Linked DNA regions of Tamandua tetradactyla. The protein of the gene in region 3 interacts with the protein of the main gene of each other region in a pairwise test. Links are inferred from orthologs where the notes say so. Each region holds a gene or a part of one and is shown on either strand. Other genes may lie near its edges.

Region 1 (7,697 bases), on a different chromosome or scaffold from region 3:
TCCCAAATCAGCCTCTTCATCTATCTTTTTTTTGGGGGGGGGGGTGCATGGGCCAGGAATTGAGCCTGAGTCTCCCACATGGCAGGCGAGCATTCTACCACTGAACCACCCATGCACCCCCCCATCTCCCATGTACCCCCATCTATCTTTTTTTTCTAATTGAGAAATCTTCACACACATACATTCTACACATGGTGTACAATCGATGGCTCACAGTGTCATCACATAGTTGTGTATTCATTACCATGATCGGTTTTTAGAACATTTGCATCACTCCAGAAAATGAAATAAAAAGAAAAAAGAAAAAACTCACACATACCATACACCTTACCCCCTCTTTCATTGACAACTAGTGTTTCCAACCCCATCTTTGATAGTACCATTACTAATGAAGCAGAAAAAAGTTTCAAAAGGATAAATGCTTTTAAACATTGAAAATGTTTTTCAGTCATCAAAGATAATCAGAAAGAAAAATTCATCTTTAAAATATTTTGCTTTGATTGTAAAGGAAGACCATCATTGGCAATAAATAAATAAACATGTTTTTGAAGCTGCCTTGACCAGCTCTAACACAGGCCATGCTAACACCATGTCTACGTACATATTTATCATCCAATTCTTGGAAAGTTCCATTGATCATAAGATTATAAACACACATATTGTGTTTTCCCATAGTGGCCAAACTTAGCAAACCGCCACCAAAAAACCAACAAGAACAAACTTTCTCTTCAAGTTGCCTGTAAACAAGGTCTAAAGTGTGGTTGATGGTGGTGACAAAATTCTTATAATAAAGGGCAACTGACCTACAGTGTGAGCTACTTTTATTGGAGGGTTTTTTTTTTTTAGCATTTTAGTCTATTCAAATAGGCTAACTCATAAGCTAACAGTTTTCTTTTTCTTTCCTATTTTCTTTAATTGCATTTCTTTTGGGTGCATTTCCCCCAAAAGAGATTATATAGCTTATTGCATGTTTGGTTATACCATACTATATTCATTAGAGCAAGATTTATTTTGGGTGCATTTCCCCAAAAAGAGATTATATAGCTTATCGTATGTTTGGTTATACCATACTATAGCTATTAGAGCAAGATTTCCAACAAATTAATGCACCTTTCACCTCCCATAGCCTCTGAGTGGGGGTACTAAAATGAAATATATTTTAGGAATCCAGCCACCATTGAAAAGATCCAGTGATGAAGTGTCCACACTTCAACTGAACTTTTGCTTTGTTTTACCCATACACACCCCCAAATACCCACACACTTAAAATAACAACCTTCCTTAGCATCAGAGCTGATGTTTTCACATTGGATGCAGCACCTGTTATACAACTGGAGTTTGCAAGCTAACTAAGGGGAATTTGCTCAGCCTGGTGGAGGCAAGGAGCTCAGGGCTCAGGCCTCCTAAACCTTTGGTCACTATGTTAAATTATCAATGGTCTCCTTTCCTTCAGTATTTAACTGACTTAGGACAGTGAACTGGGGCCCCACTGCTTTATCTAAATCATATGTATCCATATCCTACAAATTATGTATTTATTTATGCATATTTGCATGTACTTTTATAAGGCAGGTTATATATATATATACATAATTTTCAAATTGTAAACGTCAAAACAGGTGACTGAAATGGTGCAACCTCTGTGGAAGGCAGTTTGGCGGTTCCTCAAAAAGCTGAATATAGAATTGCCATATGACCCAGCAATACCATTGCTAGCTATCTACTCAGAGGACATAAGGGCAAAGACACAAACGGACATTTGCACATCAATGTTTATAGCAGCATTATTTACAATTGCAAAGAGATGGAAACAGCCAAAATGTCCATCAACAGACGAGTGGCTAAACAAACTGTGGCATATACATACGATGGAATATTATGCAGCTTTAAGACAGAATAAACTTATGAAGCATGTAATAATATGGATGGACTTAGAGAACATTATGCTGAGTGAGTCTAGCCAAAAACTAAAGGACAAATATTGTATGGTCTCACTGATATGAACTGACATTAGTGATAAACTTGGAATATTTTGTTGGTAACAGAGACCATCAGGAGATAGAAATAGGGTAAGATATTGGGTAATTGGAGCTGAAGGGATACAGACTGTGCAACAGGACTGGATACAAAAACTCAGAAGTGGACAGCAAAATACTACCTAACTGTAATACAATTATGTTAAAACACTGAATGAAGCTGCATGTGAGAATGATAGAGGGAGGAGGGCTGGGGACATAAATGAAATCAGAAAGAAAGACAGATGTTAAAAATTGAGATGGTATAATCTAGGAATGCCTGGAGTGTATAATAACAGAGACTAAATGTACAATGTACAAATTTTAAAAATGTTTTTGCATGAGGAAGAACAAAAGAATGTCATTATTGCAGGGTGCTAAAAATAGATGATAATATTTTAAAATGTCACCTTATGTGTGAGACTAAAGCAAAAAATCCTTATTTGTTACAAAATTTATATTTTGACTAGTGCATTTCCTAATGTAACTTATGTAGATAGTTTGATTGAACACCATAAGTACTTGGAATCTCAGGTAGGACATGAGATTTTGTTGGTTTCTCCAGAGTGATGCCCTGATGAATCCCAGAGTGATTCGATCAATGAGTGGAAAAGTATTTGCAAAGCCCCCTTCGGAGAATGGTGAGAATGGGGAGAAATTCAACTTCCCCAAGCTGAATTCTTGATATTCTCACAAGCAGTGTGGACAACCAAAGCTATAGGCTGAGCCCCCAGGCTTGGGGGTTGTTCATATGAAATTTAATCCCACAAAGGATAGGTCAAGTCTACTTAAAATTTAGGCCTAAGAGTCACCCCCAGGAGAGCCTCTTTTGTTGCTCAGATGTGGCATCTCTCTCCAGCCAACATGACGAGCAGTCTCACCACCCTTCCCCTCTCTGCGTGGGACATGACTCCCAGGGGTGTGGACCTTCCTGGCAACGTGGGACAGAAATCCTAGAATGAGCTGAGACTCAGCATCAAGGGATTGAGAAAAACTCTAGAATGAACTGAGACTCAGCATCAAGAGATTGAGGAAACCTTCTCGACCAAAAGGGGGAAGAGTGAAATGAGACAAAGTGTCAATGGCTGAGAGATTCCAAACAGAGTTGAGAGGTTATCCTGGAGGTTATTCTTACGCATTAAGTACATATCATCTTGTTATTCAAGATGTAATGGAGAGGCTGGAGGGAACTGCCTGAAAATGTAGAGCTGTGTTCCAGTAGCCATGTTTCTTGAGGATGATTGAATAATGATATAGCTGTCACAATGTTACTGTGTGATTGTGAAAACCTTGTGTCTGATGCTCCTTTTATCTACCTTGTCAACAGTCAAGTAGAACATATGGAATAAAAATAAATAATAGGGGGAACAAATGCTAAAATAAATTTAGTTTGAAATGCTAGTGATAAATGTAAGCGAGGGGTAAAGGGTATAGTAGGTATAATCTTTTTTTTTCTGTTTTCTTTTTATTTCTTTTTCTATTGTCTTTTTTTTCTTTTTCTGAATTAATGCAAATGTTCCAAGAAATGATAAATATGCAACTAAGTGATGATATTGTGAATTACTGATTATATATGTTGATTTTTTGGTTTCTTAATTTTTTAATTAATAAATAAATTTGAAAAAGAAAAAATATTTACTGATCTCTAAATGTAACAATAAGTGCAACATAAAGACACTGATCATCTTGGACTGTAATCTGACAGCTCAACTGTACAGTTTCCATATTATTTACATTATGAATATTGTGACTGTGTTTACTGATGAGCTATCTCCTGTCTTAAATACTCATGAAACTACTTCTACATTTCATTTTCAAATCAAACAAAAGAAACAGTGAAAAAAAAAAACAGGTGACTGGCTATATCACCTGTGATGTGTATTAAATAACAGGAGTCAATCTCAGCAACCCTTCAGGTCTAACCAGGCAGGCCTAATGCTCCGAAACCATCGCTTGGCACATCAAAAACTGGAGCGTGTTTATTCTTTTAAATACACTCTGTCAAAGGCCCCTCCATTAGAGCGTTGAACTGCTGTACACTTTGTATCCCTTTGGGCCGTATCTTAGTCAACTAATATAATTTTACTACTTTGTATCCAAATACCACAGGATGCCTCACTGCATCTTTTTGGTGTTGGGAGAGCCAAGCGTCCCACTGCGGCAGAATTTAATTTTATTAAAACCACTTCTGAGAGTTGTCCTAAAATTCAAACCGAAGGCAACGCTTTTTGTTTTGAGCAAACCACAGAATAAATGAATGCAGGAACGACGGGGGAAGGCAGGAAAACCCTAAAGGGCTTGTTACAGAGTTGTAACAATTGAATCACCCAGGACACTAAGTGCCACGCCCCAGCGCGTGATCTCACTTAAACCCCAACAGAAAGCACCATGCTCATTCCTTTTACAGATGAACACAATGACAGCCCGAGGTGGTTTCAGAACCCACCACCCTTAATCTTCAAAACCCTGCCTCAGCGGACCCTAACACTGGTCTGGCATCTACTGCGCATGCCCCGATTCAGTGGCCAATAAGAGTCCGGCACCCAGGAGTGGAGGCGGGGCTATGTTATTCTCCCAGAGCCCTGAGGCTTCAAAGCACAGCAAGGAGGGGAATTCGTTCACCGACCAATCAGAGCCCACGTCAGTCCCCGATCTGCTCGCACCCTGAGCCAATTGCCTGCTCCGGTGTGGCAAGAGCTTGTTCGAAATTACGGAAGCGAGGGGTGGGCGGTGAACGAAGTTAATTAAGATGGCGGATATGAGAGAGGCTGCGGGCCTGAAAGTGAGGTCCGCTCTAGGCGGGTGGGTGTCGGGAGGAATTGGGAGGCTTGGGACGAGTAAGATTGTGACATTCTCCTCTCCGTTTGGAGCTTGGGCCTGGCTTCTTGTTGGGATGAGGCAGCCTTTAGTAATCCAGCCCCGCAGAATAAAAGTGGTATGTTACAAGATGGCCGCCACCACCCAGTGCTAGGATCGTAGGCTGACTGTTTCATTCTTACTCCCGGGTGATCCGTCCCAGGCTGCGGACTTTACGCAATCTGGGGAGTGGGTCCCCTTGGGGTCAACACAGCCCTGGGGTCCCCTAACTGGTGTGTGGACAGTCCTGTGATCATACCAACTGAAAGGAGTGGACATTCCTAGAGCTACAAAGATTGGGATGCAGGGAGGAAGCACCCATCCAGGGAGAGTTGGGGGTGACTTTGAGAGTGTGGACAATGTAGGGACTGGGGGGAGGGGGGAGGGAACTCTGGACCCCCAGCTGATCCAGGTTAGCAGCCATACCGTAGAGCTATTGTCTAGCACAGTGTTTTCCTGTACGGGAGTGGGAAACCTGGTGGGTGGGACCTCTGAGGTTGGCCGGGAGGGCTCCAGGGCCATCTCACAGCACTGCAGGAATCTGGCCGGGTCCCACCAAGTGGACCTCTGAGATGGGCTTTGCAGCAGAGAAAGTAAAGAAAGGGCAGTGGGAAAGTGGTCGTGTATTCTGGGTCTTTGACCATCCAGGAAGGAGAAGGGTGAAGAAGAACTCGAGAGAACAGGGCGTGAATGCTAGGCTAAAGGGATAATATTTCATTTATCTAGGTTGCCCAGCTAATTCATAAAAACAGTAACAATAACGCATAATTATAATATGTCAAGCTCTGCCCTAATCACTTTCTATGAATTCTCATTTAATCTTTACAACAACCCTAACCACCATTGTTATATTCCCTTTGTGGGTGAGAGAACTGAGGCATTTGAGAGGTTGCCAGAAGTTACACAGCTGGTAAATGGCCAGCAGTAAAGCCAGGCTAAAAGGCTCAGTAGGGTTCTGACCACTGAGCCCTTCTTATCTCTACAGATGTCTCTGCTTTTCTGTGCACACCCTATACTCACCCCACCCCCACCAGGACTAAAAATCAGCTGCTCTCATAAGGGCCCTTAAAGAACCCATTTTTCCATAGTGAACAGTGTAGAGCCTTTATGGGAGGGGGTTAGGCCCTCAGCGTTCTGAGTTATTTTTCTTCTCCCTTTTCCCAGGGGATACCAGAGAGGCAGTGGTAAAGAGAGGATGAGTTTAGCTTTGTGGGAAGAGGATGGTATATTCACAGCATAGATATCTGGACTATAATTATTTATTCAGCAAATATTGATTTACCCTCTACCACTGCATGCAGGGTCTTGTGCGAGGTGATGAGGATACTGCAATGAACAAGACAGACAAGGATCCTGTTCCTACCTGCCCTTGGGATGTATTTTGGGAATCCTGGGGACATTTGTGGTTCTCACTGTGTCAGGGGTGCTTCTGGCATTGAGTCGGCAGGGACCTGCAAGGCTAGGGGACAGTCCCACAATACAAAGACTTACAACATCCATACATGTCATTTTAGGATGCTGAATGCAAACACTTATTAAAACGGAGCATCGGGTCTGAGGGTTGGGAGCTATTGTTTTCTTAGGTTGGGCCTGTCCCTAGGAAGCACCCCTCAGGGGTATGGAGGGCCATGAGGGGTGGGAAGGTGAGGGGAGAAGGATGGCATTGCAATATCAATTTTGCGGTCCTGGCCTCTATCTTGATCTTAAAGGACAGCAGTTGGACCCTCCCCATGCCTAGATCTCCTCCATGGACTCCATGTGGTGGTGACCAGCATGTGGAAAACAACCCGGGATCATAATACTGACTGTGTCTTACTCGTCACAGGGCTTGAGGCATGGAAATGGGAATTGCATAGGCAGTAATCTCCCCAAAGAAAGCAAACTAAGCAAAGATATGAACAGGAAATGATTCTCAATTTGGTACCCTTTGAGGCAGGCGTAGATGATGGGGGAGCAATGGGTGGGTGTAAATTATTGGGCATACACTGGTATTTGGGGGTTTGTAGGTGTTCATAATATTATAAGAAGTGAATTAGACTTTCTGCTTCCAGCTGTTTTGGGCTGCCTGTATTGTATCAGACCAACTCTCCTGGTGAAAGCAATCAGAAAAGTTGGATTAAGGTTCGTTTTTTAACCTATTTGAAAGCATGGGAGAGCAAATTATCTTTGAGGTCATCACCTCACCGAATGCTATCCAGTGCCAAAAAGCACTGTTTAATGGAGACGTATAAACCAGCTCCAATTTATTAATGCAGGTTGACAGAGTAATTAATACTATATTATAATATGAACAATGATACTAAATTCAAAAATTGCTGTATTACAGAGTGGGGAAACTCGTTTTATTAAGGACCCAAATAACAAAATCTGCTTTAGGATTTTTATTTAAAGAAAAAGATATAAGCCTGTTTGCTACTTAGAAATACAAACAGGAAATATGCAACTTTCAAGAGTGACATGCAACTTTTAAATATTAATTTTAAAAAATAGCACATGTAGCAGAGGTTTAGGGTTCCCTGATGTAGAGCTATAGGGACACATCTGGGGGCCAAGAAAGGAGTAGGAAGGTGGAGAACAAAAGACATAAAAAAGAAGCAGAATTTTATCTTGGCCGCCATATGGCACCTAACAGTTTAGGAACTGTTGACCTCTACTCTCCTGCTTACAAGCTATGTGTTGTTGGGCAAGTTGTCTAAACTTCTCTGGTTCTCAGCTTCCCTATCCCCTATGGGGATAACAGTAGTGCTTCCTTCATGAGGTTGTCTGTGCATATTATATGAGTTGATAAATGTAAGGCCCTTGGAAGACATAGCAGCAAACACTAAG
Region 2 (7,188 bases), on a different chromosome or scaffold from region 3:
TTGGCTTTCGAGCATTTGCTGCCCATACTGACGGGTCTCAAAGGAGAAAGGACTGGCCCAGGGGGTGTCGGCGTCCCAACACCCTGAGAGAGTCTTCGGAGCTCTTACGAGCCGGGGCTCGTCTTCCCAGGGGACGTCTCACCCTGGTTTGCGATTTTCAGGACCTGAAAATCCGGAGGGAAACGATTTTCGGAGGGTAATTTACGGACAGGCTCTCTCCGAACGGTGAGACCCGGCAGCAGGGCTAGGAGGGAAGGGGCTTACCCGATCTGTGGTGGATGCAGTGGCGGCCGAGGGATTCCCTGGTCGCTGGATATGTGGAGGAAAGAGGAGAGAGGAGGCCGGGTCGCCCCTGGCCAGGCGGGCAGCACCCGCACTCTTCTCCCGGGTTTTGGGTACCAAAATGTAAGGTTAAGGAGGCGAAAAGAGAGAAGAGACGGACCAAGAAACTTTAAAGTGAGCGAGTTTATTCTGCGCTCCCGGGCAGAGCTCACAGAGCGTAAGGTAGGGAGTTGTGAGTTTGCCGCTGGGTCCTGGTGCGGGCGGGTTTTAAGCAAGGGGGTTAGGTGACGTCTAGAAGGGGCGGCACATTTTACACAGCTCCAGTCTTGGTGACCCCTGTTCCCCCGACCTAACAACCGTGTATGGTGGGAGAGGGTTAGGTGGGGCTGTGGCGCGTGGGGTTGGAGAAAAATGGGTCTGAGCAGTCCGGGCAGATGGAACGGTGTATGAAAAAGACAGAAGCAGAAAAGAGATGGATGTGTAGGAGCCAACAGGTTGCTCATTTCCAGTGGGAGATACAGTTGGAAAGACAAGTGTTGGCCCGAGCGTTCAAGGCCATGAATTCCAGGCTAAGGACTCTGGACTGTTGAAGAGCCAGTGGAGGCTCTTGAACAGGAGAGTAACGGGTTCTGAAGGATGCTTCAGGAAGAAGAGTGCGGTCACTGCACGGGAGGGAACCGCGCAGCGCGGTCCAGGCCAGCCGCGTGCGGTAAAGCGCCGAGTGCGCCCTTCCGCCTGCAGGGGGCGAGCTGTGGAGCCAAACGCTTTCCCCGCCCCCTTCCTCAGTGTCCCGGTTCCGACTTGCACGCTCGAAGTTCGGCTAAACCTCCTGGACGCGCCCTCTTCGGGCCTCGGCTAGTCCGCCTGGATTCACTCCCGGGCGTCCCGTCCGCTTTGGCGCGGGGCTCTTGGGTCTGAAGAGGGGCGTGAGCCGCAGCCTCGGCGCCTGCGCCGTGGCGCCGCAGTTGGCTGGTGAGGCTGACGGTAGGGGGCTTCCGCGCCACGGCGGTGCTGACTGGTCTCACGTCCGTAGGTGTTTTGTTTTGTCCCAAGAAAACGAGAAATAGGCGAACAGTGCGGAGGAGCTGGAGTGCTCCCTGACTTTAACGGCGCCGAGCCTGGCCCCACTGCCCCCTTGTCTTTCAGCTGAGAAGCAATGGGTGTCTTCACCGCAAATTTCCTCCAGCTATTTGCTCTCAGCCTGCGGCCTAAATATCCATACTAGTGAAAACCTGCCCCGGTCTCTGAGCTTGTCCAGTCCAGGCTGAAATCCGTAGTTTTGGAGCTGGTTTCCCTCTGCGATAAAATCAGAGACTCGGAGTTGGGGAGCCAGTGGGTGAGAGGCATTTTCCGAGATTTTCAAGTCCAACCTCTTAGCCCTTCTCGATATACCGCGTGAGTGAATGTGTAGTTGTAAACCTCCGACGACTCCCCGTTTATGTAGTCTTCTTCTTGGAAGTTTCCTCCATACAACTTTCACCCTTTCAAAAATATTTATTGAGCACCTACTATGTGCCAGGCACCGTAGATCTTGGGAGTGCAATGCCTACTATACACACACGATTGCTGATCCGCTTGGTGTTTACATTTCAGGGGGAGGGGAGAGAAGTGACAATAACCAAAAAATAGGCTGTGATAATAGGGCTAGCAAGGAAATAAATAGGGTTTATTGTAGAAAAAAATAAGCAGGAACTATTTAGAGTGATCAGAGGAGGTGTCTTCGGATGTGAGGTTTAAAACTAGCCAAGTGCACAGCTAGGAGCAATGAGTTCCAAGCTGAGGAGAGAGCAAAGCCCTAGAGGCAGGGAAGAGGTTCGTGTTTTCTCGGAGTGGATGAAAGGCCGGTGTGACTGAGTGGGATAGTCAAGGTTGAGAAAGTAAGCAGGAGCCAGATGCACGACTTTGTGGGCCATAGTACCTTGGAGATGTAATCTCAGAGCAACGGGAAGCCCAAGGAAGAGTTCATGGCAGAAGAGTGAGCTTAGATCAGTCGTTTAGAACCATACAAACCAATTAGTTTTTCATATCATAGTCCTTTAGGTATTTGAAGATGGCTGACATGGTATCCTCTGAGACCCCTGCTTGTGCCTCCAATTCCTCTCCAAGCTAAGGTTTCTTTACTCCTTATTCAGAGGGTTTATGGACAGATTTCAAAATGTTATTTTGGCCCCTTTGAAAGTGTGGGAACATTTTAAACATGTAAATCATGTGTGACCACTTTAAAAGGAAAGGACCAAGACTTATTTCAGATCCACGAAGAGGTCCTTTAAAGATTAAGAGCCACTGCTTAAGCATTTTTCATCAATGTGATCCTGGCAATTCTCAGAGATAGAGTAAATGTCACCTTCAACCCGACTCCTTCTCTAAATGAGATCTCATCTGTGAAACGAGAACAGTAGGGTTGCTATGAGGATTAAATAGGATAGTGCTCAAAATGTGTTTAATGATAAATCATGAGACGGTTACAGAGTGCCACTGTTATAAACAAATATTTGCATGCTAGGATGGGGAGGCAATTTAGAGATCATGCTCCTTTAGCATTCCACAAACATCTACCACGAGGCTATTCTGTGTAGAGCTCCTGGTGAAAAAGATCTGCTCTTCCAGGAGTTTATTATCTAGTCTAAAGAGTAAAGATACAAAATACTATAGACTAAATGTCCTGAGAGGAGCATGAGTAAAGTGCTCCCGGAGCTGCAGAACAGGTCTGTTTCCACTGAAGGTGAGAGATTATTGGAGAAGTGCATATTTGAAATGGGTTTGAAAGATGAAATGACTGAATCTGAAAACACATAACAGAAACTCAATACTACGTGTCCACATTTTGTCCTGTAGGTATGTGGAAAGACCGACTGGAAACACTGCAATCATTTCTACCACCCCACGAACATTGAACACTTTGTTCTCGTGAGAAGGGATCCTATCTTTTGTCCAGTCTGTTTACTATATCGTACATGTTCTGGGCAGTCCTTATCTTCACGGTCGGGGACAAAGTACACATACGCTAAAACCTCGGAACGAAACGAAAGGCCCAGATCTCTCCAACACCCAATGGGGGCCGCTTCACCGTAGGTCGCCGCCGCCCCCTGGCTCCCCACCGCCGCAGGGCCGCAGTCCGCCCGGGGTCGGACTTCTTGGGGACCCAATCTGCCTGGGGTCGGAATTCTTGGGGCCTCTCCGCCCCTCCCCGGCAGCCCCCTGGGCTGCAGCGGCAGCACAGCCCGGAGCCCTCCCTCCTCCGCACTTCCCTCGGCCTTCACTGGAGAGGCCGAAAACCCGGAGCGAATCGACCCAGCCCGGCGGCGCATGCTCAGTGGTGAGCAGGTTCAGTTCGCAAGTAGGAAGCTCGAGGAGCGTTACACCGGTGTCGGCGGCGGCGGCGGCGGCACCACCTCACTGCGGCCGGATTCCCCAACAGCGATCCAAGGCCCTTCCCCTCCCCCGCTAGACCCCGGCCCCAGCTCCGCCCCGCCCGGGGCCTTGCGCGTTTCGGGGTCCCAGCTGCTCGCAGTGGGAGCCTCGGCCTGAGCGTCCTTCCACACACCCTCCCCCTCGCCGCCGGCTCCGCCGCTGGGCCAGGCCGGGCCCAGGAGCGCCGCCCCGGCGGGCAAGCGTCGGTCGCTGCGGAGGGCAGCCCGGGGCGGCGCCGGCGGGCTGGGGAGGGGTGGGGGGGCTCGGCCCTGGGGCGGTGGTGCGGCATGCCGCCGCCTCCGGGCTGCCTTCACTCTCCTCGGCTAGTGCCAGTGTCGGGTAGGTGGCCGCGCGCGGGCCTCGGCCCCCAGCCGGGCCGTCAGGGCTAGCCGGGCCGCGCGGCGCCCCGAGGGGGCCGGGCTGTCCCGCGGGGTCGCGGCCTTGCTCGGCGCGGCGAGCTCGCCCTCTCCCTCCGCGGTCTGGTCGCCGCCGCCGCCGCCGCCCCCCTCCCAGCCCAGAGGCGCCCGGGGGGCACCATGCAGGCGCAGCAGCTGCCGTACGAGTTTTTCAGCGAGGAGAACGCGCCCAAGTGGCGGGGTCTGCTGGTGCCTGCGCTGAAAAAGGTGAGGAGCGCGCGGGACCCCGCTTCCCAGCTGCATCCCCGGTGAGGTTGCCCGGCCGGGGCAGGGCTGGGGAGGCGGGGCGCGCTGGGCTGGCTTTCTTCCCGTTCTCACCGCCTCTCGGAAAGGACAGTGCGCACTGAGAGGGCCCCCCACACTCGGCTAGTCCTCGCCGTTGACGTTCGGCCGGTGTGTGGGAAGGCCGCAGGGCGCCACGGAGATTTCGTAGGAATCCTCCGACCGCTGAGAGATTAATGCCCTGCGCCTCGATTCGAAGGCTACAGTTGGAGGAGCCTCAGTTTTCCGTGGAGGTCAAAGCAGGCCAGTTTTCCTCCGTCTCCCCCTCACCCGGTAGCTGCTGTCAGCCTTCTGTTTTACTGGGCTCGAGAAGTGCTCTGGCCCTGATGCTTACTCTGATGGCACAGCTCGCCTGCCAGCAGGAGTGGGGACACGGCCTGCTCCGCTCGCCTTCAGTCTTCACTCCCCATTCTCCTGAATCCCCCACCCCTCGGGTCAACCCGGGCGCCTGCAAAGGCCACTCTTCAGATTTTTGTGGTCGTTGATTGTTCGAGAATCTTGGTACTAGTTTTTGGTTTGTCGATTGCAAGTGTTAACCTTTTATGTGCTTTTTCTTTTTTCTTTTCAAGTGTGCCACACTTATCTAAAGTTATCTAAAGTTATATCCTACGATCTGTTCTTTTAAATGTTTTCGTATACTCTGGTTTCTCTTCAGATCGTTTAAGTATTCTAGTATAATTAGGAAATGTTGCTAATTTTAAAAGTTTCCTTAAGCAATGTTGTCACTTTAAAAACACATATTCTATTAAAACCTCAGAAATTGGTGTATTTGAATGGATTTAAAAGCAACCAGAGTACTTTTTGTTTCCTTCATTTACCTTTTTATAAGTATAGAGATTATTTTCCTCTTTTAATAGTATTTCAAAACCCTAATTTTTTTTTTGCCCAAAGAATGTTTTGTGTTATCTGTTAAAAAAATATATATGTACATATTTGCTCCCACTGAGAATTAAGATTACAATGTTCCTTTTGTACTAAACATTTGTGCTTTTTAAAAAATGCATCTTAAAAGATGTCTGCTATTTCTCAAAGGCTAGAAACTTTTACTTTCCCTTTTGTCCTGTTCTTAACTGCCTTCCACCCTCCATCTCTAACTGTAGAAAAATATGCTCATATAGTTCAGATTTAAGTTGCCGCCCTTTTTTTTCAAGTTTGATTAGTCATAAATATTTCTGTGATTCTGTTTTCTAAGAAGACCAAGGAGTTGATTTACAGAATATATCTTTTATTCATTAGAAATACCATCAGGTTTTCACTTTATTTACGTTTGCTTTACCTGAAAGCTTGGCCTGATAGCTTACAACAGAAAAGGGAGTAGGAAAGGCTAGAAGATATTCTGACTGGGAGGTAGACAGAAAAACTGTTCAAAACATACAAAAAAAAAAAAAAACCTTAGAGAACATTAGCAATTTGGGGCTGTTTTGCTTTAGAAGGACACAACTCCTACTCCAAGGGAACCAAAGGGTCATATGGCAGGATAGAAAAAGCAGTGTAGAAATTGGCAGACCTGGTCTAACTGCTGTGCTGGTGGGCCTTGCTGAATTCTGTCTACAAGAACATTTCGTTTGGCTGTTATTATTTGTATGCTGTGTGGTGGGGGTCACATTTCATTCTTTTCCATGTGACTGTCCTGTCATTGCAGCACCAGTTGCTGAATGTTTTGTTTTGTTTTTCCAGGGTTCATGGGCTGGGAATCAAACCCTGGTCTTCTGCATGGTAGGCAGGAATTCTATCTCTGAAATACCAATTAGCTGTTATTTTCAAATGTAATTAGTTGCCAGTATTTAAAAATGGGAGCATATAAAATCTAAATTTTGAAACTTTCTTGACGAGCAGAAAGATCTCTCAGTGTTGGGTCTACATTCATGCAAGGAAGTATATGACTGGAAATTAGTAAATGGCTGCCCCCTTTAAATAGAACATTTATCTCCAATTACCACAGTCCCCACCAGTTCATCTGGCGTATTTACATAAACCAGTGTTTGACTTTTAGCAAAGATACGTAATAACAGTAGAAATGTTGGTGAACAGGTGTAAGTGTATACAATCTAGCTGATATGTAAGGTTCTTGGAATTTCTCATTCAGACACCAACTAACAATGATTCTAAGCCACTTAAGAAAAGATTGAAAGTATATTTCATATTTGGATGTGTTTTTCGGAACCCAAAACCTGCATTTTCACTTGCCTCCTGGATATTTCATTTGGATATTTTCACATCTTGAATTCATCCTTCTGACCTAACACAAGATGTGCCCAACTTGTGTTCTCTTACCTGAGACTGTTTGGACATGCTGTTCCCTTCACCTGAACTGCCCCTCTTTGCCTGGCCTAACATTGCTCCTCCTTCTGGACTCACGTTCAACTTGAGAGTTCTTAGGACTGAGTTGGATGTCCCTCCTCTTTTTTTTTCTTTTTTCTTTTAGCACCCTGCCCTAGCAGTTAACAGTGAATTTTAAGTTCCTATTTATTTCTGTCCCCCCAACTAGATAGGTTGCTCCTTTAAAACAGAAGCATCCTTTTATCCCCCATGTAAATATTGCCTGGCACTGTTTGGCACTCAGATTATTTGAATGAATGGGCAAAAGGATATTGTGTACTTGTACTTCTTTCATATCCTTTAAATGTAGTACTTTCCAAACTAAAGTCATCACCTCTTTCCCTTCCACTTACTCCCCCCACCCCCCCACCTTTTTTAGCATGGAATTGGTGGTGGTCACTGATGTAGCTTCATCCTGGTTTTCTGACTAGGTTGCCTACTATAACCTTTCATGTTCTTTATGCTTTAGCTAGGTAGG
Region 3 (7,142 bases):
TCTCTTTCTTCATAACCACCAAAGTTAGACGACCACAAACAGAACTTTACCCTGTTTCCCAGGACTTTTTTGTGAGGATTTAATAAAATAACAAAAGTATTCTGTCCAGTGTAAAGTGCTCCATAAATATTAGTTGGGTTATTACAAGAAGGGAACTAGTACCACACTATGTTTGTGCTGGAGACAGTAACAATGAACCTAAATAGACAGCCGGGCAAATCAGCCAGACAGGAAATATGTCTGACTCCTGAATACAGGCTGGATTCCCTTTTGCTGAGCTACACCTGCCAGACTGGAAGCCCCTCATGCTTCTGTCATGAATGAGCATGTCCTGTCCAGGGCCTCGCCCTAGTCTGGCCCTTGGTTCCACCCTACTGTGCTGGACCAGAGCCAAGTCTGGGCTAATTTCCCCCTCCAGCTGGCCTGGTACTGCCTTTCCGGGATCATCGGGCCTCAAGCCAGAGTCTCAAACTATGTATTACACAAGTGGCCCAATAATGAGAATGCTCCTTCCTTCCCTTCTAAGACTGGGAATTTCCCTTCCCTCCTCTTTCCCTTTAAATCATTCCAACTCCTACTTCTCTGTTTCTCATCGGCCTCAAAGCTCCAGAATAGGATCTGTAAAGTCATGAAGCTGAGAAAAGAGGGCAGAGATGCATTTGTTCCATTGACTGTTTCTCTGAATCAAGTCTCAGCAGCTCCCCACCAGTGCTCACTCCTTGTTTCCACTAGCTGGGACATAAAAGGTTCTTAATAAACATTCACTGAATAAAAATAAATATCAAATTAATGAAATGATAAATACATGTCTAATGAAGTCTCCAGACTTTCTCTTGACCCTGAACCATAATCCTTGGCCTGCTTTTTTATTGCCTTTATGATCAAATTCTACAGCAGCCTAAAACTTGTTTCCCAGACTGACTGACATTATGCACAAAGGAGGATCATCATCATCACAGATATTTTTTCTTTTGAGTTCTGGGAGGAAAAAGAAACTGAAAAAGGGACAGACCTCACTTTTATTTTTTAAAAGGTACACAATTACTGTGTCAGTACAAAAATGTGTTTTGTATTTGCATTGTGCTTAGGAATGGTATGGGGAGATTGTGGAGTTGTGTTTTCTTTCATTGGAGACTAGAAGAGACATCCTGGCTAGAAAGCACAGTTGCTAATAGCAGTGGGCAGGGTTAGGGGCTGACTGACTCCTACTAAAGATAGAAGATAAAAGCACAGCTTTAAACGTGGCAGATTCCCACCGTTCACCACTCCTATCTCCGTGCCTTATAGATGAGGTAGAGCCAGGTTTCTCTGGGATTCCACGGTGGGAGCACTGCCACACTGCTGGAGCATACCGCCTATAAGTCCCAGATGACAGCAAACAGTCAAGCATGCATACAGTTGGTTTACCAGAAAGAGAGTAAAGAATAGGCTGTAATAAATATTTGAAGAAATGATGGCCAAGATTTTTCTTAATTTGAGGCAAGAGAAATGTGTAGATGCAAGATTCTAAATGAACACCAAGCAGCATAAAAACATTAAAAAGTCCATGCAGAGGCATCTAGTTGAATTATTGAAAGCCAAAGACAAAGAGCGAATCTTGAGAGCAGCAACAGAAAAGTGACATATTACATATGATAATTCGCTCAATAGCTGACTTCTCAGCAGAAAGCATGGAAGCCAGAAGAGAATGGAATAGCATCTTTAAAATGCGAAAAGCGGGAGTGGGGTGGGGTGGGGTGGGTGGGTCCCGGAGATGTACAAGGACTGGTGTAAATCACAGATACAGTTCTAAGGCCAGTTTTACGCAGTTAAGGGGGACTGGAATGGTGGATATAACAGAGGGCACTTGGGTGGACTGTTCCAGGTGCTGAAATTCTTGGTGAATGTATGATATGGGGGAAGTTGGTAAATGATAGGAATGAGGATAGAAAAGGATGAGGATAGAGAATAGTATGGTTTCAGTTGTTCTTATAATCCTCAAAGGAGAAGGGACTTTGTGTGCAAATTGAAAAACAGTGATCTGGAAGCAAGAAGAACAAGAAGATGTTTCTTGGTCCCTTCCAAGGTCTGTCTTCCTACTAATATTCCCTTCTGTATGGTGATGATAGAACTACCACTACCCAGATCTACTCTGAAACCTGAGATTTCTTTACTCCTTCTCCTCCCTTATTACTTACGTCCAGTCACCAAGTGCTTAATAGTGCTAAATTCCTTCCTGAAGTGCACGGGGAGGGAGGTATATTTGAGAGGGGATAGAGAATCGAAGCTTCTTGCATTTTGTGTTGTGAGGGTTCCGAATGGAACTCCGGTATTTGGCTGTTTTAGTTCGTGGGATAATGTAGGCTCCCAGTTGGATACAGGACCCGGATTTCCACCAGAGGTTATTTCCTTATTTTAGGGAGATGGTCTGTGTTTCCTCTTAGTCACAAATATCCCTTTTCAGAACCTCCACTTTCGTCCTGCTGAGGATTTGGCAGCACCTCCTTCAGAGAGAAAGGGAATTCAGGGTGAATTGCACCAGGTCCAGAACCCAGAAACAGAAATGGCTTTTAAATGATGGGAGGAAAACAGAGACTAGCTATCTGCTGATCAGGATGAAACATAGATTTCATCCTAACAGGCCAACTCTGATAACTTCGTAGCAGCTCTCTGGAACACCAGAGCGCTACATTGAGAAGGATTTCAAGGCTTAGACTTGAGTACAAGCTCTGAAAGAGGGTACCACAATTGACTGGTGATGTGTGCCATGAGAGTGACACCCTATGCTCAAGAGTGCTCTCCTTAGCCTGGGTGGTTTGTTTACAGACAGGTTGCTTGGTCCCCAGCAAGTAAGGGACTTCCTAAACTAATACAAAAGAGCAAGGCTTCTCTGTGTCACTGAAGCTTAGGACCTACCTTTCAAGTCCTGGCCAGGCCCTGATTGAAACACAGCATCTGAGAGCAGGAAAAGGCTGTTTATCATTCCGGATGTTTGTGAAATTTCTCACATGAGTTGGCTGGGCAGTTGATATAAGTCTGGGCTTTGGAGCTATCCCTCTGAAGTCACCTTGCTACCTTCACCTGCCCAAAAGGTAAGAAATGATAGGAAGCCATAGGATCAGTATGAGTTGTTTAGATTTCTCTTGGACAGATGTCATCATGGACATACAAGTTTTGTACACTGGACCAGCCCCCATCCTGCCTCTAAAGTCAAACAAAACTCTTCCATCTTAGGTCTCCTCTTTGCTATGCCCAAAGGAATCACTGACTCCTCCTCACACTCCTTAACCAACAGAAACCTTTTCTTTGAAGGAGTGCTGTGTTGAGGGCAAGCCCCTTGGTATAGGGTGGAAAGGGAGTTGAAGCCTGATTTTTTTCTTTTTTTTGACAAGATCAGGGGTTGGAAGGGGCGAAAAAAGATTCTGAGCTTGAGCTTCACCTGTTCATCAGCTATGGAGTGGGAAAGAATATTCAGTTTCGGCAGGCCTGCAGATGGGAGTTTGGGGAGAGAGAATGTGAGAGTATACGAGGGGAGCTGCTCTTCTGCATGAAAGGGGGCAGGGAGCCCTCCGTGGTCTGGTGGTCGCATATGCTATGGAGGAGGGAGAGGAATGCTGAATGGATGGCTTTTGGGTATCCGGAGTCCCTGAGGAGGTGAGAGAGGCCAGTAACAGATCCGTGAAGAAGGGTGGGAACCTTCTTCCCAGCCCCCATCCCAGGGAATCCGCGCTCCCAGATCATGGAAGAACCTTCAGTGAGAGAGAAGGTCCCCGAGGGAGCCCTATCTGGGGTGCAATAGGGCTGCGCCCGATCCCGCCTGGTCCTTTCCCAAACCCGGGGGTCTGCCGTAGCAGGAAGCGCACCACCCAAGCTCAGCATGTCACCTTGGGGAGGAGGAGCCAGGTGGGTCGTCGCAGCTCCGGGAAGGGCTGCCAGGGCCGGGGCTTCGGGGTCTCCCCGAGGGGAGAGCAGCGCCCTCCGGGTCCAGGCCCGCTTGGTCCGGTGCCCCGGGGCTCTGGGGGGAGGCGCCTGGCCCAGGCCAATTTCGGGCTGCCAAGAGTGGGAGAGTCCGTGCCCGCGCCGGCGGGCGGGCCGTCCGCGGCCCGGCCCGTCGCCTACCTCCCCGCCCCCCGGCTTCCTGCGGAGGCCGCGGCCGCCATGTTGTTGTGGGGCTGAGGCGGCGCCGGCGGAGCCCAGCGGCCGTGACCGGCTGCGCAACAGGTTCGCTGTCGGCATCCTAGCGAGAGGGCGGGCGGCGGCGGCAGCGGCCCAGCAGGGTCTCCCGGCCCCGACCCGCGCGGGCTCTGCGGGTGCTGAGGAGCGCGGGGTCGCGCTGTGACGTGCAGGAGGCGCGGCGGGGGCGCCAGGTGGGTGAAGCCGCGCGCGCGGGCGGCCGCAGGGCGCGGGGCAGGTGCGGGCGGCGCAGCGCCGGCCGCCCGGGAGGCTGCCAGGGCCGAGCCGTGCGTCGCTGACGCCGAGTCGGGTCGCGGGGCGACCTGGCGTCCCCCGAGCTAGGCCCCTGGGGCTTGGGCGCGCCGGGCGGAAACCTCCAGCCCCGGTTCCTGTTCCCGTGGCGGGGCCGGGGCGGGCGCCGAGCCGGCCGCGGCCTCTTCTGGCAGGTGGCGGATGCCGCCGAGGGCGCGGGGCGGCGTGGCCCCCTCGCTTTCGGGGTGCGGGCGAACGAGAGCCCGGACCCGTTTTATTATCGTGGAGTTGGTTTTTCTCCTCGGTAATGGTTGGTGTGAAATGTCAGGTGAGCCGCATCCCGGTGCGTCAAAGTGGTCCGAGTCACGGACGGATGCCCGGCGTCCACGGCTCGCATTAAACCGAAGTTGGGAAATGTTAAAATTTGACTTCCAGGGTACACAGGAAGCGCGGAGAGATGTAATTTCTTAGGCCAGAGTAAAGTTTATTGGTTATTTAAAAGAAAAAAAAAAGACTCCTGCATGTGCATAGTGCATGGGTAAATCAAGACTGAAAGCGCCGATGGCTCTACACTCTGTAGAAAGGTGCAGTATTTGAATTTATTGATCATGTTCTTTATCGTTGGATGATTGCCGAAGGTAAATATGCCTTCCTTGAAATTTGTATTAATTACGAATTGAGAATCTGTTTGCTAGAGCTAACCGCTTTATGATAGGAGCTGTGGTCAACACAAAAATTATTGCTTTACTAAATCCTTCTAGTTTGTTTTTACTAGTATTTACTTACTTACCCAGAAACGGGCATGGTGGAACTTGAAATTTTGTGGTGTTGTATTTAGGTTAATTTGGGTAGCAGAGCCTCAATAGGTTAAGCGGCTTAAGTCTTTAGGAAAAGTAAGTTCCTTCCTCCCTGTCCAGGTTTGCTATTTTGTTAATCAGTGTTAAAATCTAAAAGCAAGCTGCAAACATCACATAAAACCTTTGCCCAAATTAATAATGTTATCCCTCAAATTTAAATATAGTAACAACTCTGATGGGCTCACCTTTAGGTTTCTTTGGCTGTGGGCACAATTCCCTTATAATTTTAAAAGTAAAAAAGTCATTTTTAAAAGCTTAATTTAGAAGCGAACAGTATTTCATGTGTTTGAAGGACTTAAGAACGATGTGCATTGCTGTTGTTTTAATGTAACGTTAATAAGCAGCTGAAAAGCTTGTATTCCCCACCCCCACCCCCTTTAATGAAGGTGATTATTCTCTTTCCTGGCGTTTATATGAAGGTTAGAATGGTCTGAGAAAACTTGACCCATTCTGAATAATTGAACAGGAAGGCACCGTTGTTCTGCATATCTCAAGCCTAAAATCTTGATGTCTTCTGAATATGAGGAAATGTTTTTGGAATGTTCTAAGGATTGGATTTGTAGTTTAAGAAATTTCATAAATATAGGCTAGTATAAGGAGCCTGTTTATATCCATCAACCAGTTTCAGTAGTTTGCAAGCCTTTCTTTATCTAGGCTTTTTTCTTTCTTTCCTACCTTTATTTCTGTTTTAGCCATGTCACCCTCCATACCTAGTATTTTTCTCTCTGAAAAAGAAAAGTGAAATTTCTTACATAACCTCAAGGATTTTTAGTTTTAATTTATTTTTAAACTTCCAAATTCCATCTTTCTGGCAAGACCAAAAGAACATTTATTGCTTAACTCCTTCAGTATTAAAATATATTTACCATGCTTGTCATTTACTGAGCACTTACTACATGCTAGGCCCTGTGTATGCAAAGTGCATAATTATTTAATGCTCACAGAGCTCATAGTTACTGTCTTCACCATCCAAAAGATAAGGGAAATGAGGTGCTAGGAGATTATTTGACTATTCTAGCTCTTGAACCTAGTAAATACTGGAGCCAGGTTCAAACCCAGGCCTTTCTGACTTTAGGGCCTGTACTTTCTTACAGGGTGTGATCATCTTGGTTCAGAATTTTAAAAAAGTTTTATTGGATTCAATAAATAATTGTTGAGTGATGAAAGTCCGTAATTGATAAGTACCTAGCATTTTTATATACTGTATTTAGTAGCAAAACATTTGTATTAACAAGCTCCAGAAATGATTCAGAATAAGCTATTTGCATTACTAAAAATGTGTATATTTAATTACCATCTAACAGTGATTTTGCTTTTTCTTTTGTATTTTGTTTTTTCAGCACCTTATTTATGGAAAAATCTGATTGTGGAAAAACTAATTTTGGAGAAAAGCTAAAAGGAAAAAGAGCCTTTTGTGTGTGTGTGTGTGTGTGTGTGTGTGCACGCTAATTAAAGGCAGGATTCCAAGTGTGACTTGGAAAAATAAGAATATCTAGAATAAATCCTGTAAATGCATCAGAAATGCTGTATTTTTTTTTTTTTTTGGCTTATGTTCACTCTTAGCTATATACTGTCCTATAACTACAGAGCACAGAAACTAATGTTAGAATCCCATTGGGTAACTTGTGTGTATTCATATCCTTGAGAAGGGGAACCTGAACTAGTCTTAATATGAAAGCAGAGAGGAAGTGGTGGAAGAGGGGAGGAAACTGAGCAGAAATAAGACGTTGAATAAATCAAGAAATCATGTATTTTCCTAAGTCTTAAGAGGGCAGCATTTTTCATTTGCAGATATCCCATATTATTTTGAGGGATTCATTTCAAAAGTAATTTCACAGCTACATCAGGACACTGAGTGATTTAGTTACGTAGGTGTGGAGC

What was found.
Region 1: the proteins of ITSN2 (region 3) and WAS interact in a two-hybrid assay, tested with the Homo sapiens proteins (2 studies listed by BioGRID). The link is inferred for Tamandua tetradactyla from reciprocal best matches to the Homo sapiens genes ITSN2 and WAS.
Region 2: the proteins of ITSN2 (region 3) and SOS1 interact in a two-hybrid assay, tested with the Homo sapiens proteins (2 studies listed by BioGRID and IntAct). The link is inferred for Tamandua tetradactyla from reciprocal best matches to the Homo sapiens genes ITSN2 and SOS1.

The regions. Positions count from the first base shown.
Region 1 is NC_135353.1:121,599,810-121,607,506, reverse strand, and holds the start of WAS (actin nucleation-promoting factor WAS), read left to right. Parts: upstream 1-4,695; 5' UTR 4,696-4,802; intron 4,803-7,697. UniProt on the Homo sapiens protein: Effector protein for Rho-type GTPases that regulates actin filament reorganization via its interaction with the Arp2/3 complex. Important for efficient actin polymerization. Possible regulator of lymphocyte and platelet function.
Region 2 is NC_135343.1:10,348,698-10,355,885, reverse strand, and holds the start of SOS1 (son of sevenless homolog 1), read left to right. Parts: upstream 1-4,186; 5' UTR 4,187-4,229; coding exon 4,230-4,316; intron 4,317-7,188.
Region 3 is NC_135329.1:7,615,284-7,622,425, reverse strand, and holds the start of ITSN2 (intersectin-2), read left to right. Parts: upstream 1-4,125; 5' UTR 4,126-4,346; intron 4,347-4,609; exon of another isoform or gene 4,610-4,732; intron 4,733-7,142.